Regions from separate parts of the Mus musculus genome. Here all the other regions are reported to be linked to region 1. Evidence: microRNA targets listed by miRTarBase, many of them from high-throughput screens and not tested one by one. Region 1 holds a microRNA gene; each other region holds the end of a gene's coding sequence.
What was found. Region 1 holds the annotated microRNA mmu-miR-7b-5p (UGGAAGACUUGUGAUUUUGUUGUU, at 1,192-1,215, opposite strand). A microRNA usually pairs through its seed, bases 2 to 8, with sites in the 3' UTR of a target mRNA and lowers its output. Matches are read on the target gene's strand: a 7mer-m8 pairs with bases 2 to 8, a 7mer-A1 pairs with bases 2 to 7 and ends in A, and an 8mer does both.

Region 2: miRTarBase lists Septin8 as a target of mmu-miR-7b-5p. The part of its 3' UTR that is shown has no 7-base or 8-base seed match.
Region 3: miRTarBase lists Marchf9 as a target of mmu-miR-7b-5p. The part of its 3' UTR that is shown has no 7-base or 8-base seed match.
Region 4: miRTarBase lists Raver1 as a target of mmu-miR-7b-5p. The part of its 3' UTR that is shown has no 7-base or 8-base seed match.
Region 5: miRTarBase lists Ddah1 as a target of mmu-miR-7b-5p. Seed matches in the 3' UTR shown: 7mer-m8 at 3,598-3,604 and 7mer-A1 at 1,383-1,389.
Region 6: the mRNA of Fbxo10 is a reported target of mmu-miR-7b-5p. The part of its 3' UTR that is shown has no 7-base or 8-base seed match.
Region 7: miRTarBase lists Hp1bp3 as a target of mmu-miR-7b-5p. The part of its 3' UTR that is shown has no 7-base or 8-base seed match.

What each region holds. Positions count from the first base shown.
Region 1 is chr17:56,239,922-56,244,231 of GRCm38, reverse strand. It overlaps Mir7b (microRNA 7b), which reads right to left and starts at 1,244; the gene lies at 1,134-1,244. A230051N06Rik (RIKEN cDNA A230051N06 gene) reads right to left here and starts at 2,516. Exons shown (of 2, transcript NR_155493.1): 1 at 2,418-2,516; 2 at 1,427-2,076.
Region 2 is chr11:53,547,830-53,552,139 of GRCm38, reverse strand. Septin8 (septin 8) reads right to left here. Exons shown (of 10, transcript NM_001347496.1): 10 at 2,535-3,849. The coding sequence ends at 3,681. It also overlaps the pseudogene Cycl. Among named protein-coding and RNA genes, the nearest start is that of A430108G06Rik, 17 kb to the left of the region's middle.
Region 3 is chr10:127,052,635-127,056,912 of GRCm38, forward strand. It overlaps Marchf9 (membrane associated ring-CH-type finger 9), which reads right to left. Exons shown (of 4, transcript NM_001033262.2): 4 at 3,416-4,277. The coding sequence ends at 3,937. Cyp27b1 (cytochrome P450, family 27, subfamily b, polypeptide 1) reads left to right here. Exons shown (of 9, transcript NM_010009.2): 9 at 1-372. Among named protein-coding and RNA genes, the nearest start is that of Marchf9, 5.4 kb to the right of the region's middle.
Region 4 is chr9:21,072,052-21,076,361 of GRCm38, reverse strand. Raver1 (ribonucleoprotein, PTB-binding 1) reads left to right here. Exons shown (of 13, transcript NM_027911.4): 11 at 255-398; 12 at 694-777; 13 at 866-2,204. The coding sequence ends at 1,012. Fdx2 (ferredoxin 2) reads left to right here and starts at 2,831. Exons shown (of 5, transcript NM_001039824.3): 1 at 2,831-2,973; 2 at 3,044-3,098; 3 at 3,181-3,287. The coding sequence starts at 2,856. It overlaps Gm38431 (predicted gene, 38431), which reads left to right. Exons shown (of 17, transcript NR_038081.2): 11 at 255-398; 12 at 694-777; 13 at 866-1,071; 14 at 3,044-3,098; 15 at 3,181-3,287. Mir7082 (microRNA 7082) reads left to right here and starts at 774; the gene lies at 774-865.
Region 5 is chr3:145,891,199-145,895,508 of GRCm38, reverse strand. Ddah1 (dimethylarginine dimethylaminohydrolase 1) reads right to left here. Exons shown (of 6, transcript NM_026993.3): 6 at 1,232-4,067. The coding sequence ends at 3,951. Among named protein-coding and RNA genes, the nearest start is that of Gm35187, 2.7 kb to the right of the region's middle.
Region 6 is chr4:45,032,048-45,036,357 of GRCm38, forward strand. Fbxo10 (F-box protein 10) reads right to left here. Exons shown (of 11, transcript NM_001024142.1): 11 at 2,201-4,035. The coding sequence ends at 3,861. Polr1e (polymerase (RNA) I polypeptide E) reads left to right here. Exons shown (of 12, transcript NM_022811.3): 12 at 1-2,232. The coding sequence ends at 53. Among named protein-coding and RNA genes, the nearest start is that of Gm30939, 11 kb to the right of the region's middle.
Region 7 is chr4:138,240,875-138,245,184 of GRCm38, forward strand. It overlaps Hp1bp3 (heterochromatin protein 1, binding protein 3), which reads left to right. Exons shown (of 13, transcript NM_010470.3): 13 at 572-3,809. The coding sequence ends at 866. Among named protein-coding and RNA genes, the nearest start is that of Sh2d5, 7.4 kb to the right of the region's middle.

The sequences.
Region 1 (4,310 bases):
GGCAAGAGAACTCAGTGTTCAAAGCCATCCTGGGCTACATTCAGAGTTAGAGAAAAGCCTGGACTACAGGTGACACTGTCTCAAAGCAGGCAAAGTGAAAAGAGTGAGGAAAAGAAAACAAGAAAGAGAAAAGAATTTCAGGGTTTTCTAGAAGTACCTTTGATGCCAATCCCTCTTTTAAAAGTTTTATGGCCGGGCAGTGGTGGCGCATGCCTTTAATCCCAGCACTTGGGAGACAGAGGCAGGGAGATTTCTGAGTTCGAGGCCAGCCTGGTCTACAGAGCAACAGCCAGGTCTATACAGAGAAACCCTGTCTCAAAAAACCAAAAAAAAAAAAAGTTTTATGTATGCACATGCTTTTAATTCAAACACTCAGGAGGCAGAGGCAGGTGGATCTCTGAATTTGAGGGTAACCTGGTCTACAGAGTAAGTTCTAAGACAGCCAGGTTTATATACAGAAACCCTCTCTTTTTTTTTTTTTTTTAAATGTAATTCTTTTTTTTTTTTTTAAAGATTTATTTATTTATTATATGTAAGTACACTGTAGCTGTCTTCAGACACCAGAAGAGGGAGTCAGATCTCATTACAGATGGTTGTGAGCCACCATGTGGTTGCTGGGATTTGAACTCTGGACCTTCGGAAGAGCAGTCGGGTGCTCTTACCCACTGAGCCATCTCACCAGCCCCAGAAACCCTCTCTTAAAAAAAAAAAAAAGAAAAATTTTTATGTGTGTTTATTTATTTGTGTGTGGAAGCATGTGTGTCACAGGACATGTATGGTCAGAGGACAACTTGCAGGAGTTGGTTTTATCCTTCTACCCAGTTGATCCTGGGGCTCAAGCTTGGGTTCCCTAATTTCAAAGCACTCTTTCCCTCTGAGTTACTCCACTGGCTCACCATTCCCTATTTGAGTCTCCAGAGAAAGCACGGTGCTGTGACCCAGGGCCCTGAGGTTGTGTCTCTGATCCTATCATGTAGATGTGTTTGAGTGACAGGCCAATAGCATGGGAAACACTCCTGCACTCTCCCAGGGCCCGAGACCTTGCTAGACACCCTCTCCTGTCCGTGCTAGACTTCCCTTAACCCCCTCCTGTCCCAGTTTCCTGCCCCTACCTGTTTGTGTATTTCAGGAGAAAGGTGATAGGAGTCCACGCTATGAGGCTGGCTGTGACTTGTTGTCATATCATATCAGAACAACAAAATCACAAGTCTTCCACATAGCACTGGCTCACGTACTCCGCTCCTCGTCCTCATCCTCCTCCGCCAGGTTCAACACCCTCAAGTGCTTCTCTCTCTCTCTCCATAGAGGATTGAGCATAACAAACCCCACTCACTGACTTACCCTCCCTAGACATCCCTTTTCCATTCCATCCCCTGAGACACAGGCAAGATTCATTCTCTACCTGCCCCCCAACTCACACCCTGGCACATCACCAACGTGGGATTTATTGTTCCAGGCACGAGGAGCACACACTTGTCACCCCAGCACGCAGGGAGTAGAGGCAGGAGGATGAGAACTTCAAGATCATCTTTGGCTACACAAGGAGTTCAAAGCTTGGTCTACAGTGTTTTAAAATAATAATAATTATATATATAATTGAGAGAAAAACTCTTTTTAAAAATAAAAAGAACTTGAGATTTAAAGTTGGATTGAGGCTGGCTTTCCCCTCACCACTTCACTTTGGAAATTAGTACACCCAGAGGCACTCATAACATCTCGTTGACCAAATGCTTCGCCTGTACTCTGTGAGTTTGAAGCCAGCCTAGTCTACATAGTGAGTTTCAGAACAGCTAGAGGTACACACAAAAAAACCCTGTTTCAAAAAAGAAAAAAAAAATCCCTCCGTAAAGGACAAATGCCAAGAACCATTAAGAGGTTCCTTCCCTGTACACTCTCCGCCAGAACAGACCCCAAGGCGATCCCTGAAGCTGGGTGTTGAGAGCTTGGCACTGCCAGGGGCCGGGTGCTGAAGCCTAGTCTCTTCGTGACCCGCTGGGAGCTGTCCGAAATCCTGGTGCTGAAGCCGAACTCTGCTCCGAGTCCCTCAGCCGGATGGCGCTGTCCGCGTCTCCAGTGCTGAAACATAATTAGTTATTGGGGGAGGGGGTGGTCAGTGCGGCTCGAGGACACTCTCCCAGCTTCTGCCTTCTGCCAAAATGCCCCGCTCCTTGTTTCTGTTCTTCGTCCTAGGGACCCATCTTCTGTTTTAATCTCTTCCCATGGACCCGGGGTGTTCTAGGCGGGGACGAAGGCGCAAGGCTCTCACCTGCTCCCACATCTCAGGGAGACAGCCCTGGGTTCTCTGCCCTTCCTAAACAGTCCAGTTGGCCTTCTGGAAGATGTGCCAACTTGCATTGTACCCAGAGTCCCCGCTTCCCTCCCTCAGCGCACCTTTTCCTCCTTCCTTCGTGCCTTACCTTCTCCTGCTCACCAGCAGCTGCAGGTGTCTCGGTGGCTGTCCAGTTTCCGACGTTTCACCTTTATGCGCTTAAGGGGAAGGCGGAGCGCTGGAAACCCTGGGTGGGGCTTAGCCAGTGAACCAATAGGAATCGTCTTGGAATGAAGCTCCAAGGATTACCTCATAGGTTGAGGCCTCGGCTTCAGAATAAAAGTCAGGCATCCGTCCAAAAACTTCTTTAGGGGTCTCCAGAAGGTGTCAGGGTGTAGTCCTGTGGCCTGTTAAGTTTCCACGAGAGGATCATCTAAAACCTGATCACTGAGTAGCCAGAGGATTAGCGATCATCAAGCGTGTGCCTGCTGGGACAGAGAAGCTGAAAAAAAATGTTTGAAGAAATTGAGGGATTTTGAAAATAAAGTCCAATTCTACACAGGGAAGATGAAGTGTGCGGGAATGAGACTCACAGAAGCGTAGGATAGAGGCGGAGCTCTGGCGATTTTTGTTTTGTTTTGAGTTAGGGTCTTGATTTGTAGTCCATGATGACCTCAAACTTATGATTCTCCTGCCTCAGGCTCCCATCAGGAGTTTGCCTCCACACTAGATTGATGCAGTGCTGGGAATGGAACTTAGTGCTTTCTGATTGCTGGGCCAGCGCTCTGTCCCTGAGCCCTAGTCACAGTTTCCCCCCTCTAACACAGTCTCTCTCACTTTTGTGATCCTCTTGCCTCAGCCTTCTCAGCACTGGGAAGGCTGGTGTGTGGCACATCACACACCTTCATTTACATAGCTTCCTTTGTAGCACCAAAGGGACAGACAGTCAGGGAGGACACACACTCAGGCTTGTAAATCTCCTACCAGCTCCTCAGGCTGCGGAGCTGGCAAGCCAGGTTCATTCTATACACCCTAGGGGCATGGGAGGAGGGGCTGCAGGGAACCTGGGATGAGACCCTGGAAAGCCACCTGCAAGATCTAAGCTCTGATCAGTTGTCCCTTTCCCTTCTAGCAGTCTCTTGGGTAAAACTTGCATGCCCCACGCCCTTTGTTTTTCTCTCTTATTTCTTCCCATTCTTTCAATTTGGATATGAACCCAGAGCCTTGCAGTCCCTCAAAGAGCTAAGTCATCTCCCTGAAATTATAAGATTTATTTATTTATTTATTTATTTATTTATTTATTTATTTATTTATTTATTTATGTGCACATGCACAGTACATGCATAGAAGTCAGCAGAGAGCTTGTGGGTCCTGCAGCCCACATTTAATTTAATTCATTTTAAACCTTTGGAGAATTCTTGTTCTTTTTATTGTTTGTTTGCTTGCTTGCTTGCTTGTTTGCTTTTTGAGACAGGGCTTCATTGTGTAGCCCTGGCTGTCCTGGAACTCACTGTGTAAACCAGGCTGGCTTCAAACTCAGAAAGATCAACCTGTCTCTGCCTCCTGAGTGCTGGGATTAAAGGTTGGCATCACCACTGCCACGCTGGAGAATCGTTTGGGGCTACGGGAAGCTGTTTGGCAGGTTTCTTCTCTCACATTTGTGAGGTCCTGTGTTCCATGTCCGCACATACAAATCAATAGAAAGTGAAACGGTGTGTGAAAGCCCACCCTCATGCATGTGCACACACGCGCCATGGTGCTTATCTGGAGCTCTGTGAAAGCCTTGCACGAGTAGGTTTTCTTCTTCTGCCACATGTGTCCCAGGGATAGAACTCAGGCCACCCCACAGCAAGTGCCTTCACCCTCCAGCTCCATTGCCCCCACACATCTCTCAGGATTGAATCACAATCATTTTGTGGATGGATTTTGTCCATCAGATATTTCCTAGTTCAAGGACTCAGAGTCCTTGAACTACGCCACTGTTTGGACATCATGAAGAAAATGTCCAGGAACTTACACATGTGCTTCCTCATGTGTGCTA
Region 2 (4,310 bases), not on the chromosome of region 1:
TCATGCTGGTGCCTAGGGTGAGAGAGACTTTTTAAGTCATCTTGGAGTCTTGAGTAGGCTCTGCTCTCCTGGAGGACCTCTGGTGGCCTTTCGAGGAACAGCACACATTCTGAAACTTATATCATGTCTATCATGGCAGAGCTCCAACTGCCCGCGGCCTATGCTGGGTCTCCACTGGCTGCTTCCTAATTCCCCGCCACTAGCCCTCCTGCGCAGAGACATGTGCCTGTGGCTTGGCAACGATCCATCACCTCCTCCGCGGTGCTCAGGCCCTGCGCTGTCCGGTGTGGTTTCCCTCACCTAGCCAGCAGGTGTTTCTGCCTTAGAACAAGCCACCGAGGGCTGCTTAATTACATCCGGGTTTAAAATATGAAAGCCCCTTTGGTTACCTTAATCAGGAGGCCCCTGCCACTGCTGGACCAAAACTACCTCCAAACTTGGTGCTCCCCTCTTCGATTCTTTTCCCAGCAAGTGGAGATGTGCCACACCTTGCAGAAAATCCTCTCCAGGTTCCTAATGCTAAGAATAGCTTCCATTTTTCGGGGGTATGTATACATATATAAACTCTGGTCCTCTGCGTGAGCCATGTGCAGTCTTAACTGCTGCAGCATCCCTCCAGGCGTTCCTTGCTGGCCACATTCAACCTGGCGATCTTCCTTTTCCCTATCTTCCTACAGTTTCAGTAAAGGTAGGGAGGCCTCTGTGGGACAAGTGACTTCAAGTCTCTTCCCAGAAACTTGACTAGATTGTGCCCATGAAGTTGCTACTTAGTGACTCTGAGACCCCTCTCTGAGGGTAGCAGGGGACCCGAGAAGAGCAGAAGCTCTGAATGGGCTCCAAGTTAGCGTGGCCATCCGAGTTTTACTGTTGCTTTCTGTCAGGAGATGGTTTCCCAGTCACCTTCCCAGATCTTTACATTGTCCTCTGACCCCTTCCACTTGGAGGATAGGGACACTACTGTCATCTCTCCAGTGCCTTCCCAAGGCACTGTCCAAGGAAGTCTCCAAGGAAGGAAAATATGGCTTGTGTGTCCAGTTCCAAACCTTCAATACAAATGTTTATTACAATATAATTTGTGGACTGGAGAGATGGCTCAGTGGTTAAGAACACATTCTGTTCTTGCAGAGGACCTGGGTTTCTTTCCTAGAGCCCACATGAAAGCTCACAAAAAAAAAAAAAACAAAAAAAAAAAATCTAACTCCAGTTGGAGAGGATCTGTCGCCCTCCTCTGGCTTCCTGGGGCACCTGCACTCATGTGCACATACCACTACACACACACACACACACACACACACACACACACACCACACACACCACATAATTTTTAAAAATCATTTTTTAAAGATACACTTTGTGCCCTCTAAAATTTCTTTTTGCCAGACCAAACCTCAAGTGAATGACCTTTAAAAGAAGTACCTTTGAAGGCTATAGTAATATCTGTTTCTCTCAAAATGTAGGACTAAATCATGAATGCCCTTGATATTTGGAAGTCAGCAAAGTCTTCTGAAGATAAAGCCGGTTGTGTTGCTTTTGGTTTGGTTTTGGTTTTGACTTTCAGAGACAGAATCTTGTATAGCCAGGCTGGACTCGAATTCACTAGAGAGCCAAAGCTGACCTTGAACCCCTGATCCTCCCGCCTCCCCCTTCCCAGTGTTGGGAACCACCATACCTGAGAGAACATAGTTTCCTCAGAGCTGAACCATCTTCAATAAAGGCTGAAGGAAGTGGGTGGGGCTAAGGATCGGTCGGTAAAGCGCTTGCTGTGGTGTGAGGACCTGAGGTGGATTCCTGGACCCATGTTTTAAAAGAAAGCTGGGTGTGGTGGAATCACTAGGGATTGCTGGCCAGCTAGCTCATTACTTGACAAGTTCCAGGCCAGGAAGAGATGAAAGGCCTGTCTTAAAAAACAAAAGGTGGTCGATACCCAAAGAATGATATCCTCTGGCCTCCACATGCATACACACACATGCACACCACACACATATACACATGCATACATACATAAACACATACACACATACATACACACATACACTCATACACACACACACAATATACAATACACAATACACACATACATATACACACACACACATACCCCAAAGAGAAAATAAGGTCGAGGGAAGATATGGGGATGCAGAGCTGTGAAGGCCATGGGGAGTTTGTCAACTGCACGTCCAGGAAGCTGGAAGGCATCTTTATTCTTTCTCCAAGCAGCCATGCGGGGATTGGGAGGAGTGAACAAACCCACAGCTCTGAGGAAACCTGGGTGAGCCCTTGCAGCTGAACACGCATGACCCAGACCAACCTCTGAAGCACCTTTGTGTCTGAGCTGGCAGGCAGTGGGGTCTTGAGACCTTTTGCAAAGGGGGTCCATGCGATGTACATTACAGCATTCCCACTTCCTAGCGGTTTGCCAAACAAGCAAGGTGTGGCTTGGCTTTTCTTCCAGAAGTCTTTTCAGAGGCAGGCCGCTGGAAGACAATCTACTGTGTGTGGATGCCCCAGTCCCCATGGCTAAGAAAACAAGTTACTGTAACATGATGTCAGGCTTTGGCCTCCTTTATTTATTTATTTATTTTTTTTACAGTCAATTCCACGTGTAAAAGACGTCATAAAGCGTTGTGGCTCTAGCTGTACCCCAAATGAGCTGCTGAGGATGGGGTAGGCTATTCTGGACAGACTCCATTAGGACCTCCACGCGGGAATGTCGCTGGGTTTCTTGATTATAATGAGCATGAGTTTATAGAGTCTCCCTGAGACTCGTCTGTGCCTTTGGAACAGCTGTTTACAACACAGAACAGGCAAGGCACAGGCGTGCAACACGTCCTTGCACATGCACCACGGCGAGGTGACCCATAAAGGCTCACAACATACGGAAGAGTGGAAAAAAAATGTTATCTTTATACCCCACGCCATTCCACCACCAGACTCTCACGTCTAAAGGACACAGAGATCACTTGACAAAGACATTTAAACGGCACTATTATGGTCTGTTTCTCTCTTAGATACACACTGCAAAAATATTTAACTTTCCATTCTATGAATATTGTATATAAATATCTGTCTGCCTTTACTACACTTTACACACATTCACTTAGCTGTCTTTATTCACCTACACACAATCCTTACTGAGGCGTTAGACCGCACTGATCTGGCACTTAAAAAATATCAGGTATCGGTTCATGTTGGTTTTAGTTGGGGGGATGGGGGGGCCATCTTTCAGGATGTGCTTGTTAGTAAGGCAAAATTATGCAAATGAGGAAATGTCATGGCGTTTTGGTCTGTTATAAAGCATGAAGGTTAAATTACTAAGGGCAGTTTCGTTATGGAAAACTGGTGCTGTTGACAAAGTTCCTGGTTTCTTCTCAGGTCAAGCGGTTACAGGTAACTTCCCCACTCCCTTTAATAGCAGATTCTTGAATTTCTCAGAATCCAAACGTGGCTGTCTCTACACTCTAGCCTCAGAGTTCCATGTCACAAATCAGACTGTCTGGGAATGAAAGGGGTTGGACCACACCAGATGCTTCCCTGATGAAAATCGGAAACCGTTTGCACTTTTGGTTGTTGATATGTGAAAACTAGGGGGGAGGGGCCTCGGTCCTAACATTAAAAAACCATGGTCTCCAGTTCCACGCCCTGATGGTCCGGAGCTGGCCCCGTGTGGTGGAACTGTGGCCTCAGAGGAATCCTTCCCTCCACGTCGCGTCCCTGACCAGGCAGCTGCAGCACTGGATGGCAGGCCACCAGCTGCTGCAGTTCAAGGGCTCCACATTTGCTTTAGTCATCATCACCTTAGAGTTGGAGAGGCTCATGCCCGACTGCTGTGCTGCGGCTATATCTGATCTGCTAAAGAAAGCACAGGTAGACATCAGCTCGGCCCTTCTAGCTGACACGTTCTGGGCTGCGGGGGGTACCGTGACCCTTCTTGTTCCTATATGAAGATGCTTGGAGCGTGACGGCTATGGCAAGAGTCTGACTGCAGGCCATGCTTTCTGTACATGGTCACGCTGTGCTCCCTGGGCATGGCAGACCTTGGACTCACGGGAAAGGGTTTTTGGTGGTGGGGAACAAGAATACAAGCAGTCCATTGGCCAATAGGATCGGGAATGGGCAGAGGACTAGGAGAAGTAATGTTGAGGATTACAATGAATTATGTAATAATAAATGAAAGAGTATAGGAGTATGTGGTGACAGACACAGGGTGGGGGATGCCTTGTCGGTAGCCTTCAGGACAGATTAGGATGAAATGGTAGAAAGATGATAATTACTGGGGTTGGAGATTGTAAGAGTTAATGGCATGAAGTGGG
Region 3 (4,278 bases), not on the chromosome of region 1:
GTCCTTGAACTCACAACCTCCTTGCCTCACCTTCCCAAGTATTGGGTTACAGACTTGAGCTACCACTTCCAGCTGTATCAGTCTTTCTATCTCCTGCCAGAGTCTATCCCTGGCTATTCAGCACCATACATTCTCAGACTGAACCTGGACCATGTGGCAGGATCGTCCACTCACCAGGCTCTGCCCACCCTTTTCTCTCTTAATCTTTCCTCTAGGGAAGTAAATCTGCCCTTGCCTAATTTACAGCGTTTTTAAGCCTCCGCTACCTTGGTTCTTCAGCCACTCTCAAGTGGATCCACTTCTTATCATCCATCTTTTGGCCTGCCCCTCCTCCAGCCTGTCTTTTTTATATTAAAAATTTTATATATATTACGTCTTAAAATGTTTACTCCTTGGCTTTGGGTTTACTCCCCTCACCTTACCCCCCGCCATGCCTGGCAAGATCCGGAGCCCCATCACCCACCTTGGCTTCTCTCAGCTCCTGGGAGCAACTCCCATAACAATGGGAGGTCTGGATGATCCATTCGAAAGAGTGTTTTGTGACAGACCCAGACATGTTTCTATCTGCAGTGGGAACAGCCAAGTCTCGTCTGGCTTTCTAGTGGAGATTTAAGGGGGTGAACAGCGAGTGTAGGAGCTAAGTTGTAAAATGGGTCTGAGCGCTTAGGGTTTTTCAGAGATGACCAGAGGGGGCTCGACTCTTGGTGAAAGAAGAGCTTTTAGAACCTGGACAGCGCATGCTTTTAATCCCAGCACTTGAGAGGCAGAAGCAGGAGGATTTCTGAGTTCGAGGCCATGGTCTACAGAGTGAGTTCCAGGACAGCCAAGGATACACAGAGAAACCCTGTCTCGAAAAACCAAAACCAAACCAAACCAAACAAAAAACAAAAACAAAAAACAAACAAACAAAAAGAACCTGAACAGCCAACACTGAAGGGCATCCTAGAATATCTAATCTGCCCTCCTTCAAAGAAAGACCTGGATTCTGGCAGGAGCCACCCAGGCGGGATGAAAGCAGAGTGTGCGGAGCCCTGGAGCACAGAGGGCTCCGCACACTGTTTCCCCAAGTCACTGTTTCCCCAAGTCAGCATTCTCTGCCCCCCACCCCCTCAGAGACTGCACACAGTACTCCCCTTGTGAGGTAGCAGATTAACTCATCCTCTATCCCAATGAATCTCTCGGCACTCTACGCACCCACCCGTGTCTGGATCCAGCTCACCCCCATGTTAGGACTTGCCTCCTTCTCCATCCTTCCCTCACACTCCAGTTAGCTGGGTAGAGACTCCACTTCACACTTCCTCCAGCCCATCCTAGACATGGCTCCCTAACCAGAGACCCTGCCAGCCAGTGGACTTCCCATGGAGATCAAATCACACATGACCCAGTAGAGCAGGGCATGCTGGACGCCTTGTGCGGAGGCCATGACACTGGACATGTCTTGCTCCTCCTCTTGTCTCTTCTGTTCGCTCATTATCTGCTTCTACTCTACCACCAAGTTCAACTTCAACATAAAATACCCGAGTCTTAGCAGATCTGAGCTTGGGGGTGGGTAAAGCTGAGCCCATGAGAAAGGTTTTCCCAGTGAATAAAGGACCTGCCATTCTGTCCTGCCTGGTGGCTAGACAGAAGTGCCACTTTGAAGAGGCAGCAGCGCCTATGACCCCTAGACAAAGGTTTGTGTAAGTTAGGAGAAAGGAAAAAAGAAAAGATTATATTGGCAGATGTGCACAGCCCCATCCCGAGACCTCCATCGGTGTTGGAGGGAGGGGGAAGTGGGCCTTTGGGATATATACACATGGATATATATATGTATATATATGTGTGTGTTCTTGAGTATGCTTAAGCTTCCAGGGAGAACCATTGCAAGGAACACCTAGGCTTGGCCCAGAAGCCCCAGATGTGTCTTATCTACCTGAGTCCCTTCTGCCAACACGGACTTAGTCATTGCTGATTTTCTGTCCCCCATCTGATCTCCACTGACTCTTCTGTTAATAACAAATCAATAAAGCCAGCGCCCTCTGCTTCCAGGTAGCGGGGAGGGTGTGTGCTTCTGGGTAAGGTTTCCTGCCAGAGAGCTGGCAGCCTCAGTTTCCTCTTCATTCTGATCCTCTCAAGGCATTCACATTTGGAATTAAGTCAGACATTCCCCACCCCACCCCCAGCACAGCCCTGGTTTCTACATCCGCAGGCCAATCTGCGGCCAGCACCAAGGACAGCAGCCAAGACCCCTGCTGGAGAGGCATGGAGCAAGGTTTCCTGTGTTCCAGGGTAGGTGGGCTGTTAGAAGACACCCACTGTTTCCAAGCCTCCCAAGAGGAGGCAAAGCAGAAACTGTTGGTCCATCAGAGGACCAATAGTAAGAAAGCCCTCTGGGTCTGACTTTAGCAATGTATGAAGGAATTTTTTAATTGCTCATGAATGGTTCACTTAAAAAAAAGACACCGTCATTCATATTAACACCCAGCCTCCCTCCTGGCTTCAGGAGGAAGGGAATCAAGCTTCAAGCTGACCCACATAGTTCTTTTGGTGGTAGGGGAGTTAGCCCCAGGACCACATGCACACCACTAACCCACACCCCCAGCCCTTAGACCCACATTCCCCAAATCCTTTCTATAATAAATAAGAGTTCTTACGCCTCTCTCTCTCAGTAATACCATTAGCCGGGCACACCTGGATCAAACCTGTGATCCTAAACTGCCACAGAAAATGTCTCAATTGGGGTTAAAGTCATAACACTGAGGGAGGAGGCTCTGTCCCCATCACCCTAATTGAGTCCATGTTGGTCTCCCACCATTCCTCTGGGGGAACACAGTACCTGAAGGAAAGGGCTGTTCTCAGACAGGCTGTGCAGTCCCAGCTGCCCCTCCACCCCAGGTCCGGTGTTTGGAGGGTCAGAAGGGTTCTCGATCCTACAACGGCCACTGTCCTACACAGTTGCAGTATCGACTTCCTCTTTTGCTTCTCTACTTTGTCTCTCAAAAACACCAAAGTTCTGTGCCGCTTCTGACAGAAACCACATTTCAGAACTTGCTCTATCACCTACTGTCTAAAGTAATTGGTGGCAACTAGTCCGGAACCCTTTATACACCCGTCAGTTTTCTCTGTCATAGTATTCAACCTGTCTCCCATTTATCCTCGAGTCTGTGAGGTAGACAGGAAGAAAAAAGCTCAGATTTTTCTTTTCTAAATCATAAAACTCACAGGTGACAAGCCCACACCCCGTCCTCAGCTACCTCTGAGCACTGACACCTAGCAGCCAAGGTGAGTCACTCACCAGCAAGCAGGGGGGCGGGAGGGGTCCCTCTTCCAACTCCATACGCACCTCTGGGAAGTGCAACCCAACCCGTGCTGAGGAGCCCCCCCCCATACCCTCCATCCCTGCAGAAGAGCCCCAGATGAGAAAGGAGGCCCCACGCGCATATAAATGATTCTTTATGCCCTTCCCCCATGCAGTGGGGGGCGGAGCAGGGGGAAGTCCCCCGCCTCATGCAGGGAACGGGAGGTCAATGTTTAGTAGTCTTATTGCCAGATGCCCTGTGGCCATGGGGTGGGGAGTGGGGGGTGTCTACAGCCCCTTGTTTTCTGGCATTGGTCTCCCTTTACCAAGTCACCATGGTGGAGCCAGGGGACTGGAGGCTTAAAGCTGAGGTAAAGATGGTTCTCTCCAGGAAGAAAAGTGGTTCTCCCCGCTTGCCTGCTGGCCATCCTCAAGGTGAGTATGAGGCGGTGTCTGTGGGAACTGGAACGTCACCCAGGGGTCTCTACCCTGTGGGCAGTAGGCCGGACAATGTCTCCAAGCTGGCGGCTGTCCACAGAGATCCTCAGTGGTGGGGTCACCGTGCCCCAAACACGTTGTCTAGGTCGTACCTCCAGCAGCCGGGAGGGCTCGCCTCTGGCTGATGCATTGACTTAAGATCCCTGTTCCTGGAGTCCAGGTCAGACTGTGGTGACCCTCATGACAACCTCTCGACCAGAATGAGAGCTGGAACGGGCATCTGGTGGTCGCAGCTGTCCGAGGAGATGCAGGATCGTATAACCACAGCGCTGAGGCAAGAGCGTCCGCATGCGCATGCGCTGGGCTGCTGGGGGCCGGGTGGGGGCCCCTGCAGGGGGGCTGGTCCGTGAGGTCCTGGGGCCTGGCTTCCCTGCCGCCCCTCCCCCTGTGTCTCCTCCCACGTCCTTGGTCTTGTCATAGTTCAGGACTTTCCACTGCTGGTTCACGGCCTGCCAGCGCTTGAAGATGCGGTAAACAGAAGACCCTTCGTGGACGATGAGGCC
Region 4 (4,310 bases), not on the chromosome of region 1:
GGTTCCCTGGGGGCTCAGCAGGGGCTCACCCCATGGCTCACACAGGTGGTCAGTCATCTGTTGAAGTGAAGGTCACTGGCTCAGAGCATGGTGTCTCCCTGAGCCACTCAGAGCTTATCCTCTTGTGGTTCAGTCTGAATTTGCTACAATGGCTGTGGGTCCCAGAGGTCCCCAGAAAATAAACATGGACAATCTGAATCATGGTGGGCAAGGGTTCCTGCCATGGTTTTCCTCAGCTGAACCTTTCTCTGCAGATGTCCCCCCCACCTAGCAGCTTCAATGAGCCCCGAAGTGGTGGAGGCAGTGGGGGACCCCTCTCTCATTTTTACTCTGGCTCACCCACCTCCTACTTCACCAGTGGCCTACAGGCTGGCCTCAAGCAGAGCCACCTGAACAAGGTGAGTCTGCCCTACAAGGGACTGGTCTCTAGGACCATTGGAATGCCGGGCTGTGTGTCTGTATGTCTCTGTAGCCTTGTCATCCAAGGGGTCTCGGCGACAGCTCATGCTGCAGTGGTTTTGGCCCCTCTGGTTCCCACTGTTGAGCTTCCCCTCATCTCAAGTTGGCCTAAGGTGTGGGTGGTCTTAGCCCCAGAAGACAGATGAGAGACAGCTGGATTACCACCAGGCCTCAGTTCTGAGTTGCAGGCTAGGTGGCCTCAGGGTGACCTGCCCCACCTCTTTGACTCCCCAGGCTGTTGGTTCCTCTCCAATGGGCTCCAGTGAAGGGCTCCTGGGCCTGGGCCCTGGGCCCAATGGTCACAGTCACCTGCTGAAGGTACGGGCAGGAGGAGGGGAGGCACAGGGCTGGGCAACCCTGGCTCTGGGAGGCCACTGACCTGGCCCCCCTTGCTGTCTGTCTCCAGACCCCACTGGGTGGCCAGAAACGCAGTTTTTCCCACCTGCTGCCCTCACCTGAGCCCAGCCCAGAGGGCAGCTACGTGGGCCAGCACTCCCAGGGCCTCGGCGGCCACTACGCGGACTCCTACCTGAAGCGGAAGAGGATTTTCTAAGGGGTCGACACCAGAGATGCTCCAAGGGCCTGCACCAAGTTGCTTTTGGGTTTTTTCTGGTATTTGTGTTTTCTGGGATTTTATTTTTATTATTTTTTTTAATGTCCTTTCTTTGGGTAATAGAGAAATCTCTGCAAAAGACTTTGCTGACCAACCAGCTGGAGCTCAAGGAATGTGGGGTATCTGGGGCCACACCATTACCTGTGGGCTTGCTCCTGGAGCCAAACCCTGCAGCCTTAAGAGAGAGGGGCCTGACCTGCTCTCTTTCCCTCCCTAGCTCCAGGCCTCCTCTCCTGCCTCGTCACTCCTGTGTTCTGGCCTCTTGAGTGCCTTTGGAGGTGTCTCTGACCTGTGAGGATCAGAGACAGTCCCCGTTTTTAAACTTCGACAATTGACTTTTATTTCCTTTTCTAATTTTTATTATTTTTTAAAACAACCAGGATGATTATCACATCTACTCCCCCATCCGTCCAGAAAAGCCCCAAATTGATTCCTTCAGGGTCTGGCCTGCCCAGGCTCTATTCCACATGTGCAGGTTCCAACAGCTTAACCCTATTCTCTTCCCAGTCATCTGCTGCAGGTATAGCTGTCTCATGCCCCTGCCTGCCTATTCTGGCCAGTACCCTAAGCCCCAAGATCTCCAGCCCCTGCCCCAGTATCCTTGCCTTCTGATGCCTTAAAGTTGGGCCACAGGTCCTGCTGGGTCAGAGCCTCACAGATGCGGAGCTCCAAAAGCTCCGCTCAGGACCAAAGAGCTCTGGCCTAGGGTTCATCCTTTCTCCAGGTGTCTGCCCTGTGGACAGAAGGCTAAAGCCTTGATCTTGGCAAACCACCCCTTTTGCCCAAAGCCTGGATGCAGAGACCAGTATTTTCTGCTGGCTTCAACAGTCTCCCCTGCTGTCTGTGAAAGGTGACCATTGTACCCAGGCCACTGGGCCTCTACCATGTTCTTTCAAACCCAGGTCATTACCATCCCCAGGCTGGATCACTGGAGCAGGCCTCCTCTCTGTCCATGTGAGGGGGACCTAGGGGCTCTGCCCTTAGCCAGCTGAGCCACCACCAGCCTCCCTCCCCAAACATGATAACCCAAACCCACTCCAGTGGGTGTATCTCACCCCCTCACCCCACCCCCACCCCCTGCATAGACCTTTGCTGAATTAAAGTTTGTAAGTAAACGGTTTTAAAAAAAAAATCAGAGCTGGCTGGTTCTTGATATAAACCATGGGCCAGCAAACTAGCTCAGAATTCTGGTAACACAGACAGCCTGAGTTTTATCCCTCTGCCCCAAATGGTGGAAGGAGAGAACTGACTCCCGCAGATTGACCACTGACCTACACACATGTCACGGATGGGCTCATACACACAATCCCTAAAAATTTAAGTTGGGCTTGGAGGCCAGCCTGGTCTATATGAATTGCTTAGAGACTTAAGAATTTCTCAGTCTATAGAGATTCTGTCTCAAACAAAATTTAAATACTGGTTGCACATAACCGGTAATTCCAGCAAAGGAATTCGGAGATCAAGGCCAGACTAGGGGATCCTGTCTAAAAATTAGAGAACTCAGAGGTTGGTCCCAATTGCCGAACGTAGTTTTAGTTCCCAGCCCCACACTACCCATCAACTCTTCTGGGCTCCATAGGCACCCACTTGGTGCACATACGTACATATAAGCAGAACACATACAGTACGACCTAAGGGAAGAAATATCCAACCACAGGGCGAGGCCGGAAGTCCAGCTAGATCCCAGTGCATCACCTTTGACCTCACACGGCGCCCAAACGCTGCGTTTACTGTCGCTGAGGACGCGCAGAGCATGCTAGGTCTTCCGGTCACGTGGCCTATCATGGCCGCCTCCATGGCCCGGGGCGTGAGCGCCCGGGTCCTGTTACGGGCGGCCGGGGGATCTTGGGGACCCAGGGCCGGGCACGCGGCGGTAACATCTAGGACGTTCGGGACTACAGGTACATAGGGCTGGGCCGAGCCGCGGCGTGCAGCGAGGCCGCAGCCGCTCACCCACTCGTGTGTTTCCAGGCGAGCGGCGTGCTGGCGAGGAGGCGGCGGACAGCCCGGAGCTGCCCCGGGACGTGTGAGTGCCCCTCGTGCCACGCCCTGCCCCTCCCTGCCACTCCCTGCCTCCGGCTCAGCACCTGCACCCTGTTTGTCCCCAGGGTCAACGTGGTGTTCGTGGACCGCTCTGGCAAGCGGATCCCGGTGAGGGGCAAAGTCGGGGACAATGTTCTATACCTGGCCCAGCGCCACGGGGTGGACCTGGAAGGTAGGTCATATGAAACTAGGGAGATCCTTGGCATTCTTATACCTTTTTGTAATTTTGAGAGGTTTCCTATAGCTCAGGCTCGCCTCGAACTTACTATGTATCAGAGGATGACTTTGAACTGCTGACCCTCCTGGGACCTGGTGTGCACTACCACAATCCAATACTTTTGTTTAGGTGGTGTATGGGTGGGTCCGATCTCACTCTGTGAATCAGGCTGTCCAGGAACTTAAGTATGTAATCCCGGCTAGCCTCCAACTCATTGCAGTGAACCTACTGCCTCCACTTCCTGAGTCCTGAGACTACAGGCATGTGCTGCCTACCATATCACCAAATAGGTGGGATGGGAAGAACTGAGATGGAGTCCATGTTATTCAGGCTGTTCTGAAATCAGCTATATAACCAGGCTAGGCTCAAACTCACAATAGTGATGCCCCTGCCTCCACCTCTTTAGTGCCAAAATGGTTAAGACAGAGTCTCTGACTTACCCTTAAACCTGCTGGCTGATCATACTGCCTTAGCTTTCTCAGTTCTGAGAATACAGGTTGTCTCTACTGTTTTACCACCTTTGCGCTAACGCCAGTAAGATGGCAATAATGAAACTGGAAAGGTCGCCAGTGCTGAAGACTGCAGACGGCTTGTGAGAAGACCTGTGTTCTCTTCCTACCACCAGCTCTGTGCCAGGCAATTCACAGCCTTCTGTACCAGTAGTGCCGGGCACACTACCTCACCTCCATGGCACCTACTCACATGCACAACCCACACAGAGACACATGGAAACACTTAAAAATCTTTCTTTAAATTAACACTAAAATAAAACTAGGTTTTGGAGCAGCCCTTACTGAGCTGCTAGAATCTGTGCTCTCTTGGAAATTGTGGATTCTCCATGTTGACCCCCCATTCTCTAGTGCTGCCGCTGACTACCTTTTGGGGAGAGGTGGAACTGAAGCGGGATCACAGATGCACAGTGCTGTCCCTCACCACTCTCTTGCTGTTTTTCAGGCATCACAGCTCAGTCCTGTCCTA
Region 5 (4,310 bases), not on the chromosome of region 1:
AAGGTTTCATTTCCTGTTGGGTCAAGAGCAAGTTTGCAGAGTGTCCCTTGGCATTGAACAGTTATTAGCTCTATTGTCAATGTCATGGCAACCAATAGTAGAGAATTCGTTAGCTACATCAACTGAGAAGGTATGGGTATCCACTTGCTTGACCCCTCAACCTCCCCAAGGAGCTGGAGGACTGCTCTGCCCATCTGGGGAGCACTACGGTGTAGCATCCTGTTACTATGACAGGACTGAACTAACTGTGGGGCTGTGTGGAAGCCTCTAAGTGGCGCATTTCGACAGTCTGAGGATCCCTAAGGGCAATGTGAACATAACACATGTGGGTGATGTCATCGTGGGATTTAGGAAGGGCCATTCTGTAGGTGTATTGTGGAAGACTAGGGGCTGTTACAGCTGGTGATGTACACCTGTCTTTGCTGAGGTGGAAAGATGCCTCTAATTCATTTTTGAACAAAGAAAGTAGACTCTAGAATATTATAACGATGTCGAATTATTCAATATCTATTCATAAATGTGTGGTATTTTCTGAAATGTTAAGAGTAGTTATCTACGGGGGATGAGATTTTGCGTAATTTTTCTTGAAGTAAAAATTGAAATACATTTTATTATTAGCACTGTGTGTGTATGAGGTACATGAATAGGTGTGCGCAGGCCACCTTGCAGGTGTGAACATCACAGGACAGCTTGTGAGATCCTGGGGGTTGACTTCTGGTTGCAAGGCTTCTGTGGTAAGGACCTTTAGCTGCTGAGCTATTCTGATAACCCCATCTTGATGCTTTAGATAGTATTTTTGTATTGCTTGGGTTTTATTTTCACAGTGAAGAGTTATTGCCTTTTTAATAAAACACGGCTCTTTCAGATTACAAAAAGCTACTGGGATACAAAAACCTCATAAAGAATAACCTTCAGATTTCCTTTAAAGTTCTTACTGTAAAACAAATTAAAAAAAACCCTCATTTCAAAGCAGTTTTGCTGCTGTTTATTCACTGTACGTAGAGATGGGTTTCACAGACGTTTTCCTGTAAGTGTATCGTGTACGCACACTCCTCTGTCCTCTCCCTGCCTCCCCTTTGTCCTCTGCCCTCTCCCCTCCTCCCCTCCGTCTCCCTTACTACTTCCCATCAGGAACAAAGGAAGAAAAGTCATTCCGCTTAGCTGAATGGAATGCCATAACGTGCCAACTGGGCAACATGGTAAAAGAAGAAACGAGACAGACACTACTGGGCACGGTACAACTCACATTTTATTCTGTCTTGACTGGTGTACATTAGGAGCAGGCAGCTGGCAACTAGCGTCGGTGCAGAACTCCTCTGGACTAACAGGTCGTGGGAGATATGGCTGACTTTGGCACACAGACTGGATAACCACACATTGGCTGGAAGATGGCAGGCAAGAAGATAGAAAAAAAAAAGCACAAACCTAACACCGCACAGAAACTATGTCTGAATGTCTTAGAGAGTAGCATGCAACCCTACACAGGCCACACTGTGAGACTACAGCCTGGCCTAACTTCCCTTCTTAGAGATATAGAGATGACGGCCTTAGTGTTTGGTTCCTAGTAGCATTTTAGTGCAATGAACACGCTGTGGAGATCTGCAACCAATTGGTACAGCAACCCACCAGTTAAAGACATAGTGCTAACTATGCAATCCTTCTAGCTCATCTCTTCACTAAACCAACTCATACTGACCTGATCCTTCTTACCCAAGCTATAGACTTAGTTAAATGTAACTCCTCACATTGTTGTAATATCAAGAAGCATTTTTGTTGGTCTTCCCATCTTTGTGAGACACAACGGACGAGAGGGGAACTGGGGCAATGATTTTCCCTTTTAGAGGTAACGTTATGTGATGAGAACATCGAAGGGGCAATGCTGCGTGTATTTTGCGTGTTCACATCTCTGAATCACACAGGGGGTCTGAAGAGCAGAGTAAGATGGGGAAGAGGCAGCAACTCTAGTCAATTTCTCAGGACAAACAAGGAAAGAGGAGCGCAAAGGAAACGGGAACTGGAAAACCACCTCTGGTAGAAGAAACCGTTGCCATGGAAAATCTACTCACTCGTAACTGACTGCACGTAACAGGATGAGAGAAAGGACGTCAGTGACAGTTGCATGCTGGTACATATACAGTGGGCTGTTTTTCCTGTGGTGGATTTTGAGATGGTCACCTCTCTCAAGGAGAAATTGTTTTTACTAGTATATGGTCAAATTTAACCCCCAAAGGCAACCATAATTGCTGAGAACAAGTTTTCTTTATTAATTTAGGCAACTGGCTCACATTCATTTACCCTGGAAAAAACATAATTATTCACTCATGATATGTTGTGAAATATGACAGTGATCAGGATATGGTTCATTCGCAGGGTGCACAGAGTTAGATATTTGCATGTGCTATGAGTCTAAAGTTAGAGAAGCAAGGAAGAGATGGAGATGTCTTCAGAGAGATTGCCAAATATGAGAAGAGTGATGAAGGATGCCCTGATTGTCTCACTTCTATCCACTGGGGGGAATGCAATGGAGACCAGCCTCTCTTGTCTTCATTATGAGAAACACTGATCACAAAGGAGAGATAGATCTGACTTAGTCTTTGTCTCCTGAACTTTAAATACTGAATGACAAACTGCAGACTGTACAGCAAAGGTAGAAGTGACCAGAACTTTGATGACATGCCTGGCTGGGTCACTGTGCATTGTAAAGCACCATGTCCCTGCTCTGTTTCAGCTTTTAAGAAAAAAAAAAAAAAAAGGAATGCTCTCCTTCTTTGCTGTGGCATGCATGGCTCTCTGTGAGCGACCTGTGCCAGCTGAGCATTGTGTAATTTGAAGTTTCACTTGAATTCCACAGTAAACAATCATGGATATTTCACAGGAGACTCAGACATTGTTTGAGGCTGACCTTAGGAACCATTTCCTGACTGCGCTCCCAGGCCTGGGTGGAGGCAGCCCCCTCTGGCTCTCCCCGGACCATCAGCAATCATTGTACATGCTCTGCCTCTTTTGAAGGAAATGACTTTCTCAAGATCATGATGATTCTAAGGGGGTAGATACAAGGCGAGTCAGAAGGAAGCTCAGAAAGGCGGAGGTGGTGGAGTGGAGAAAGACTTCCCTCCATACTACAGGACTAGTCATGAGGCAAACTCATGGCATGTGACTCAGTCTCTCTAAGATGTACCCATGGGGTGTTTCTAGGCATCTGTATCTAACATCCTGCATCAACCACCTGAGGCTGGATTTACCTTCCTAGGTGTGGCAATGGGAAAGCCTGTCAGGGTGTGCCTCTGTGAGGTTCCTGTTCCCCGACCAGCCACTCTGACTTGCTGCTGGTGGTGGAGAGGTGGCTGTAAGGCAGAGAGAGAGGAGTGCACACAGGTTGGACCTTCGGGATGACATCCAGAACGCAAGAGCTTGGGTAAATCCAAGGTCAAGGCGATTACGAAAGAAGCGGAGAAGACCACAGAAAGACCCAGAAGAAAGGTTTTTAGGGGCGAGAAGAGAGGGGAATGGGAAAAAAAATCCACGTTCTAGGGAATTTCACAGGAGCCAAGCTTGATTCATGATACAGAGAAAGTCCCTTGCTTATCTGGCTGGCCGGGAAGACAGTCTTCAGAATGCCCTGCAGCTAAATCATTCCCACATTAAGGACACAAACACTGAAGTGAGGGGCTTCCACGCTATCAATTGCATTCCAATGATTCGTTAGTTCTGTATTTCCTAGGTTGCTTAATTCTTTTAGCGAATGCACAGGTTAGGTACCACCGTGAGGAAAAGGAGGGTGTGGGGAATGAGGTGATTAAAATTGGAATTAGTTTTTCTTTTCTTTTTTTGTAAACAAGAGTTAGTAGCACAGTGGCCCAGTAGATTGTCAAAGGAAAAAGGAGGAATAGGTACAGAGCCATCAGCCTGGCCTCGGCCACTTGCTGGCCACAGGGAAGGGACTCTCTGGCTCAGGAGTCTATCTTCTTGTTAATAAAAACGGAGCAGCAGGTGAGCAAGCCGTCCACCTTTTCCATCTCCGAGTTGCTCACAGGGATCAGTAGATGGTCCTTGAGTTTCTCATAGACCTGTGAGACAGTGGGAGTCAAGAAGGAAGAGGAGAGAGGGCGTTACATCCTGGCCTATTCCATCATCCTTGGGGTCAGAGAATTAATTCAGCTCATGTATCCATGCTTTTTAGTCATTTAGGCCCAAAATACACACGTTCACAAACCCACCCCAGAGCTGGCCACATGTGCTTGACCCCTTGTTCTGTGCTTTTTAAACTTCCAAATGAAGGATAGTCTCCAATGTGACTGTTGCGGAGTTGT
Region 6 (4,310 bases), not on the chromosome of region 1:
TGCCTCCAGCCCAGAACTCTGATCGACAGTCAAAGCGGAGGAAAATGAACTAGATGTTTTCCACAGCCACTTCTGTTCACTTCCATTTTTATTTTTTTGAAAAAGAAAGTAGACTGGACTTTGTGATACAAACCTATAACCCAAAGTACTCAGGAGACTGAGGCAGGAGGATTGTGAATTCTGAGCCTCTCTGGGACTCCATCATGCTCCACCACACCCCCGAGGCCTTACTTTAGGGTGGTTATCATGCCAGAAGCCAGCATTCCAGCTGTGCGTCTCTTATGCAGAAATTAAAGTGATGGCCCAGGTTTGACTTCATCTCCCTCCTTTCATGTTGCAGTGGTTAGAAGTGGTAGATGTTTCTCCTTGGGAGTCATGTGCAGGATTGAGAAGGTCTTGTGGAAGTTAAAGCCAAAAGATCTTATCAGAGTGAACTTGGAGCCAAAAGTTTATAAACAGGACCTGGAACCCAGGTAGTGGTGGCGCACGCCTTTAATCCCAGTACTCAGGAGGCAGAAGCAGGTGAATTTCTGAGTTCAAGGCCAGCCTGGGCTACAGATCGAGTTCCAGGACAGCCAGGGTTACAGAGAAACCCTGTCTCGAAACAACAAAAGGGAGGTCCTTGAAGGCCTAGTAGGCAGAGGAGGAGGCTACAGCTCTGTTGGGTTGGCAGCACCATCTAACTTACCAGCCTACTCTGATACGGCATGGCCAAGTCAGGAAGTGATAACCACGGCTTTTCCTCCTTGTTTAGACCATGCGGAGAGGCACGTTGGCCAAGTGAGTGGGGGCTGGGGATGAGTGCATGTGGCAAGCACGAACCGTCAGCTTGGCACCTCACTTGGCTTTGGATTCAGGCCTCGACAGACCCACTGCTGGTAATAAAGTTTCTGGAATCTGGAAGGGGAACTGCAGATAGAGGCTGGAGGTTTTAACAGTACCAAATGATCTGTGGCCATGGTTCTGCAAGGGAGGTTAAGACAGAAGTTGACAAGAAGCCTCTCATAGGTCCAAATTGTGAAAGTGGAGACCTGGCGCCTACGAGTAGTCCCTTCTCCACTAGCGAGTTGTGGCATGTACACACATCAACAGGCTCAACAACAACAAAAACTGTCCTTTCAGGGTTGGAGAGAGCTCTTGAGGTTAAAGGTCCCACAAACACCAGCACCCACATTCCCAACACTGGGAAGCTGAGGCAGGAATGCCATCCAGGCTTCCTGGCCGCCAGCCCGGCTAGATTACAGGAGAAGCCTTGCCTCAAAGGAAAATGGCAGGGAGCACTAGAAGATGCCTGATACTCTGGCCTCTCCACACACAGCCCACGCTACCGAGGAAATAGCGCCACATTGGATGATGAGATACATGAAACAGCCAGTGGCAACAGGCTGCAGTCTAAGCCGAATGGTGGCACATGCCTGCCATCCCAGCATTTGGTAGGAAGAGGAAGGAGAGACAAGTTCAAGGCTGGCCTCGGCTAAACATGATCACTTGAAAAAGCAGCAAGAAGCCCACGAGATAAGTTAGCAAGAGGCAACTGTCCCTGAACGTCCCTTGTCCAGAAGGAGGAGTTTAAAAGGCAAGTTTACCTTAGCTTAGGGGTGGGCTGCTGTGGGTTCAACCAAACTATTAAAATCAATTTAAGACTAAGAATGCTGACGACAATATTTAATACTAGGGCCAGGAGATGGCTTAGTGTTCAGTAAAGGCCCTTGCCACCAAGCCTGACAACTTGAGTTCAGTCCCTGGAACCGACATGGGAGAAGAGCCAACTTCTCCAAAGGTGGTCCTCTGCCCTCTGCATGCACACACACAAAATGAATGTAAAAAGTCTAAATACTAAAACAGGACTAACCCTCAGGTGAGTACAGCAAAAACTAAGATGCTGAGCGAGTAACCCACGCCCAGGAAGGTGTGCTCTTGTATCTTAAGACCCTTTGCTCAGCAGGTGACCCCAATGAAGGAGTGTCACTGTTTGTCTTCAGAGAGGCCCCTGGGCAGGGCTAGAGGAACAGCCTCTGAGTGAGATGGAGACCCTGAGAGGGAGCCCTTCAGCTCTGAATTCTGAGCCATAGCAGGAGCAAGCTGATGAGAGTCTTGAGTTCTGCAGTCTCACAGTGGAAGTGGTGGTACCAGTGGGGAGGCCTACTGGTCACTGAACCTCCAGCAAATGTGTGGACCAAATTATGACCCCAGAAGCACCTCCTTTAAAATATAGAACTTTATTTTGGTTACTGAGATTTTTGTAAGTACTTGCTTCACAGAAAAGTCATTTCTTACAAAATAACAAAGGCAGCATTTTTATACAGCGACTCACATTGGGGCCACCAAACAAGTGCAGTGAACAGTGCTACACATGGGAAGGGCCAGTGTTCTTTTCCCCAGAGTGCTTAGGGAGAAATCAGAGCTCCCCCTCCCACCCACCTAACACAGCAGCACCTAGGGCTCCACAGAACCAGCACGGGATATGGCCCAGTGTAGGACAGTGACCCCAAAGGCTGGTGAGGGCCCTGCAGTAAAGGCCAAGTGGGAAAGGGCTCGTCCAGGCAGAGCTGGCCCTGCGTGCAGACCCAAGCCCACCTGACTCTCAAAGCCTGTCACACTCAGTACAGTCTAGTGAAGCCCTTTGGGAGCTGGCCACTAACTCAACTCTGACTCTGGGCTGGGACAAAAGGACACAGACAGGTGGCTCTACCTTCCGAGAGTTCACAGGTAAATGGGCAGGACAGGGTATGTAAGGACCCAGAGTTCCAAAGCAAGGCAGAAAGTGCTCAGTGTCCTGAGGGAGCAGGAGGGCGGGCAAGGCTGAGGGTGGTGAGCAACACAATCAATCACTTGGAGCCAGGGGAGAGTCACGTGGAGACGGCAGTGTCTGAGCTAACCCTCAAGGAAAGGGTGAGATCTGCACGGATGGAGCTGTCTGGGAAGGGCATGCCAGGGAGAAAAACAAGCACAAGCCAAGGCACAGAGTGGGGGATCTGGTAGGGCTGGTCAAGGCAGCTGATCGTCCACGAGGACGTGGGCACGTCGGATTGGGTTGGGTAGGGTGGGGTGAGGTGGGGTCGGGGGTGCCTCCATCCAGACAGGCTGGACTCTGTAGGGGCAGCTGGAATGTGTGTGTTCACACAGAATCCTGTGACGGGTGCTGAACTTCCCCTTGGGGACAGCGGAACTTTGTTCATTCTCACGGGGCCCAGGCCAGCACCTGCCTCACACCTGAAGGCAGCCCCCTGCCCCTCTTATTTATAGCATGTCCCCTTGTCATTCCTGGGGCAGCTTTTCAGGAAGAAGTCCTTGTTCCAAGCCCCTTCCTTGCTCACAGGGCCATGTGCTAGTCCAGGAGAACTGTCTTTAATAGAAACCCTGCAGCTCCCAGAGGCAGCTGGGAGGCTGGCATGGGCCCAAGAGGGACCAGAGGGTCAAGGTCCAGGAAAGGGGCGGCTGTCTCCACCTCACCACAGTCACTTCCCTTGCTCAGAAGTGCTCTCTTCCCTGAGAAGAGTCTGATTTTGGTCTGCGTGAAGTGAGGTTCTCTGTAGCTTGGAACAAGTGACCTAAAAACTGCATGTACTGTCTGAGCCTCCGCGGCTCTTCATAACCTCTAAGTGCCGGAGTGACTAGAAACACTCCAATTGCGCTTCCCTTTCTCCTGGGGAAATGTTCCCAAGGTCCTTCCAGTTGGGGCTGTGGAGCTAAAGGGTTCTAGGGGAACCTGGTTCTTAGTCCCCAGGCAGCCGAGGGTTTCAGGTGTGTAACATGGGGATGGGTCTAGGATCTTCCCAGGCCTAACTTCCACCTCAACAGTCAGCCTGTAGCTCTTCCGAGCACACACCTGGGCTTGGGCCTGAGGCAGGCCTTCTTGCTTACAGGATGGTACAGAAGATGCTGCGGTTGCTATGGTAGCCACCTTCCACACGGGCTGTGATCCTGGTTGCCATGGCTGTCACCTTATGCCCACTGTGGGCTGCAGAGGAGCCCCTGAGTGAGTTTTCAAGGTGGGGCCGTGCCGGTGGGTTCACCAGGCGCCAGGTATCAGACCTGTGGATGCAAAGGAAAGCCATGAATCTAGAGACGGTGCTTGTGAGTGGCTGCGTCTCACCTTTGGTTCTAGTTCTCTGGATCTCAGAGTTCAAATCTAGGTGTGGGTTTATCTCCTGAATCACTGACTGCTGTTGAGGCTAAGCAACGGTCACATTTCCTCTTAGGCCCTCAACTTCCTCTTCTTCCTGGATTTGGATATGAATCAGGGGCCTTCCTCCCACCACCGCCACCACAGCAGCTTCTTGTGAGCGTGGATAGCCTCACCTGTCACC
Region 7 (4,310 bases), not on the chromosome of region 1:
AACACCATCTCAAAAAGTAAAACAAGGCCTGGGGACATAGGTCAGTGTAGGGTGATGAGTCTAGAGTGTGCCTAGTATCACTCAAAAGCATTGCTGAAAAGCGGGGCTAAGGGTAGGAATGTGTTTTAACCATTTAATATCCTCAGGTTCTTTGAGTAACATTTAAACTATCTTCTCCTTTCAAAATTCAAGGACTCTAAACTTCAGGCATTGTGAATACATAATGTCTTTTTCTGGTCAAACATAGTATAAATGTTTGAGAAATCAAGGCAAATTTTTTTTGTTTTTTGTTTTTTTGGGATTTTTTTGTTTGTTTTGTTTTTCGAGACAGGGTGTAGCCTTGGCTGTCCTGGAACTCACTCTGTAGACCAGGCTGGCCTGGAACTCAGAAATCCGCCTGCCTCTGCCTCCCGAGTGCTGGGATTAAAGGCGTGCGCCACCACGCCCAGCTAAGTTTTTGTTTTTAACATAGTGATTTCTATGTAAGTGATTTCTTTAAGCAGAAGGAGATTGTCCTAGCAAATGGCTTTCTCCTGTACTCAGTGATACATTTATTCTTGTGTTCTCACAGCTTACAGAAGAAAACACCAGCCAAGTCCCAAGGGAAGACAGCCTCCATGAAGCAGAGAGGGTCGAAGCCTGCGCGGAAAGTCCCGGCTGCCCAGAGAGGGAAAGTGAGGCCGCTGCCTAAGAAAGCTCCACCCAAGGCCAAGACCCCTGCCAGGAAAGCCAGACCCTCTCCCTCAGTCATCAAGAAGCCTAGTGGGAGCTCCTCCAGAAAGCCCATAGCCAGTGCACGAAAGGAAGCGAAACTGCCCGGGAAGGGCAAATCTGCCATGAAGAAGTCTTTCAAGACAAAAAAGTAAATTTTATAGGGAAAAGGGTATCATGATTGAATTCAGAATCTTACTTTATAAGGTCAGTGTGCATTTGTTCTAGTTATAATGCTTTTAAATTGTACTTTTTCTTCCCATGTGAGCATTGTGGGAAGGAATGGACACAGAGCAGCGTAGACATTTGTGAGCTTCGGTGCTGTTCAGTGCCTGCTTCTTCATCACCTTAATTTCTGCCATAACCTGGACTTCGCTGACTGTGTGACTGCCCTGCTCCCTCTGTTCATCTTAGCCCCAGCCCTCGTCCTCTTTCTGTGATCCGATTGAGGATTTTTTCCTCCTTCAAGTTAATTTAAACAACTGCAGAGATGTGTTTGTAGAGCACTTAGAGGTCTGGGGCTGGAAGTCCAGACGGCGCAGGAGCAGTGTTGGGAAGGCTTTGCGTCCTGCCTGCAGACTTGCTAGAGCTGTGGTGATTAACCCTGGCTGTTGAATCACTCCACTGACCAGTCTCCAGCTTGAGTCGGGGACATGTTAACTTCGGAAAGAAGCCCCCGTCCCTGCCATCCCATAGATTCTGAAGGGCTCCTCTCCTCCGGTCACGCTGACCAACTGCCAAGCTCGCTTTGCTGCCCAGAGCACTGTCCCCTCACAGCAAGCACAAGTTGTCTGCACCACTTGGTTTCTGACTGAAGGGGAAGTACAGGACTACATGGAATCTGATTTCTGGTGTTGCTTATTACCAAAAATGACAGAATATTCTTGATCAAATGTCTAGATATATTTTTAATATTTGGGGCATGAGTTGTCCCTGTTTGAGAGTTCCCATTACTAATGTAGAAATGTTAAATGGTAAAACATAATTTGCTAAAATGACCAGTTTTCAGATTCACCTGTGCGTGTGCCCCCCACTCCCATCCCACCCTGTTCTTTCCATAGAACTTTTGATATCAGGCAAACGGTTTCCTTTTTGAGATATTTTAACAGAGAAGGGGTGGGGGAGAAGCAGATGAAGCTGTACTACCCAGCCCTCTTCTTGTTTGTATTTGTTTAGGGTTGTGAGGTTGTGTAAAATAGTACTAGCTTCTTACTTGAGAACTACAGTTTCTGCTTATCATTTATTCTTCCTTGTGGCACTTAATATTTTAATTGTCTTAAGCTTTTTGATGTATATATCCTCTGGCCCCTTACATGCTGCCAGAGGAGAAGGTGTTTGTTTGAGATTCATTCCACTTGAAGTGTCTCCTGGGATCCCCACAGCTGCGTATGGCTGGGAAATGGACTTAAGGCTTGGGCTTGAATTGGTGGCTCCTACCTGTGAGGTCCCATCGTGAGTCACTGGGATTTGTGTTGCATGGAAGGCAGTCTTTCCTGTTGTAAATCTTCCTTTTTTATGTACAAATATTTTGAAAAATATGAATAAACATGAACTTTTAAAAGCTGCTGAACTACAGCTTAGTGAAAAGTTTCCAGTACCTGTCCTGCAATCTCTCCTCCTGCAAGGGATACCATGGCTTCCTTTTTCTTTTGAGTTCTTACTTTGATGGTCATTTATTTTATATATATGAGTACACTGTAGCTGTCTTCAGACACACCAGAAGAGGGAGTCAGATTCCACCAAAGAGTCATCTTAGGGGCTGGAGAGATGGCTCAGCATTAAGAGCACTGTCTGCTCTAACAGAGGACCTGGGTTCAGTTCCCAGCATCCATATGGTAGCTCATATTTGCCTCTAACTTCAGTTCCAGGGTTTCTGACACTCTCACACAGACATACTTGCAGACAAAGCACCAATGAACATAAAATAAAAGCAAACTTGTTTTTTAAGAGAGTCATCTTGAGGCTGTGGTGGCATACACCTTTAGTCCTGGCACTTAGGAGTCAGAAGCAGGCTGATCTCTGAGTTCAAGGCTACCCTGGTCTTTAGAGTGAGTGACAGCCAGAGAAACCCTGTCTGAAAGAAAGAGGGGGTGGGGGAGGGAGGGAGGGAGGGAGGAGTCATCTTTATTGAAAAACTTTTCTCAACATCATAAGAGCCTAGTTTTTTGTTTTTAATTAACATACAAAATTCAGGTTAGACTGGGGAAAAAAATGACAGCACAGTTACAGACAGTAGCCCACCACAGAGATCTCTCTCTCTAGAAAGCTTGAATTCCTCATATGTGTGCCAGGGACTGGTTACTCATAGGGTATTGTTAGCTACCTGAGCCAACAATTCTCTGCTCTTATGGAATCAAAAATTGCAGGTCGGTTTTTCTGTGTTATACAGTATTGCTTGTACAGAGGTTTGCTGACTGCTCAGCTGGCCCCTGCCCCATACATCAGACACTGTAACTTGTACTATGAGAAGCTGGGGTCATGTAAGGTCTCTCTCTCTGCTCTGAATGCGCCTTAACAAAAGTTTAGGGTAGGACAGTCTGCTTTAACGTCCCAGGAAAGGTAAAGACTGGATCACTCAGCTCCAAAGGCCCAGCTGTCCAACACATACACTTTCATACCTGACAGAGAGGCTTTTGATTTCTGTTTTCATCTGTGCACTCTGCAGAAGACATTTACAGACTTTACTTTTGTGTTAAATGAGAAGAGAAAACGCAGGAGGTGGGTGTCTGGCCTAATGGTCTGTCTGGTTTAATAGTCTTTCATAGACTCTGAAGTCGCCTGCTCCAAAGTGGTTGAAAAATGAGTCTCTGAAGATGCTGGAAGCAAGGTGGTTGGCTTAACTTGTATTCTCAGAGACTCATTATTACTTTATTCCGTAGTAATGTGATAAAGGCAAAGTTTATTAGCACAGGTTAGACCTAGTCCACATGAGCATAACTGCAGGAAATCGAGTCCTGTATACACCCCAGAAAGGACAGGCTTGGTGGCCCATGCCTGTCAAGGCAGCAGTGGGAGCTGTTTGCATCATGTCTGTTGACAATAGTTTGAGTAATTTATGGAAAAACAAGATCTAAATAAATGTAACCCTTGGATATAAACTTGGCTTGTCCATTAATTGTTATGTAAACTTGTTACTTAGCTTTCTCTTGCTGTAACAAAATAGAAATAATCTCTAAGGAGGAAAGGCATTAATTTGTGCCTTACTGTTAAATTCCTGTCATAGAACACCATGACCAAGGCAACTTAGAAATTGTTTAATTTGAGCCTCAATGGTTTCAGAGGGTCCAGGATCACCATGGCAGAGAGCATGACAGCAGCCACTGGAGCAGTGGCTGAGAGCTCACCACCCCCCTCCCCCCAAGACAGGGTTTCTCTGTGTAACCCTGGCTCTCCTGGAACTGACTTTGCAGACCAGGCTGGCCTCAAACTTGGTAATCCACCTGCCTCTGCCTCTGCCTCCCAAGTGCTGGGGAGAGCTCACATCTTGATCCACTAGCACAAAGCAGAGCACTCAGTGTGAGTAGCATAGGCTTTTGAAACCTCAAAGCAGACCCTGATGACAAACCTTCAGCTATGTCGCACCTCCTAATCCTTCCCAA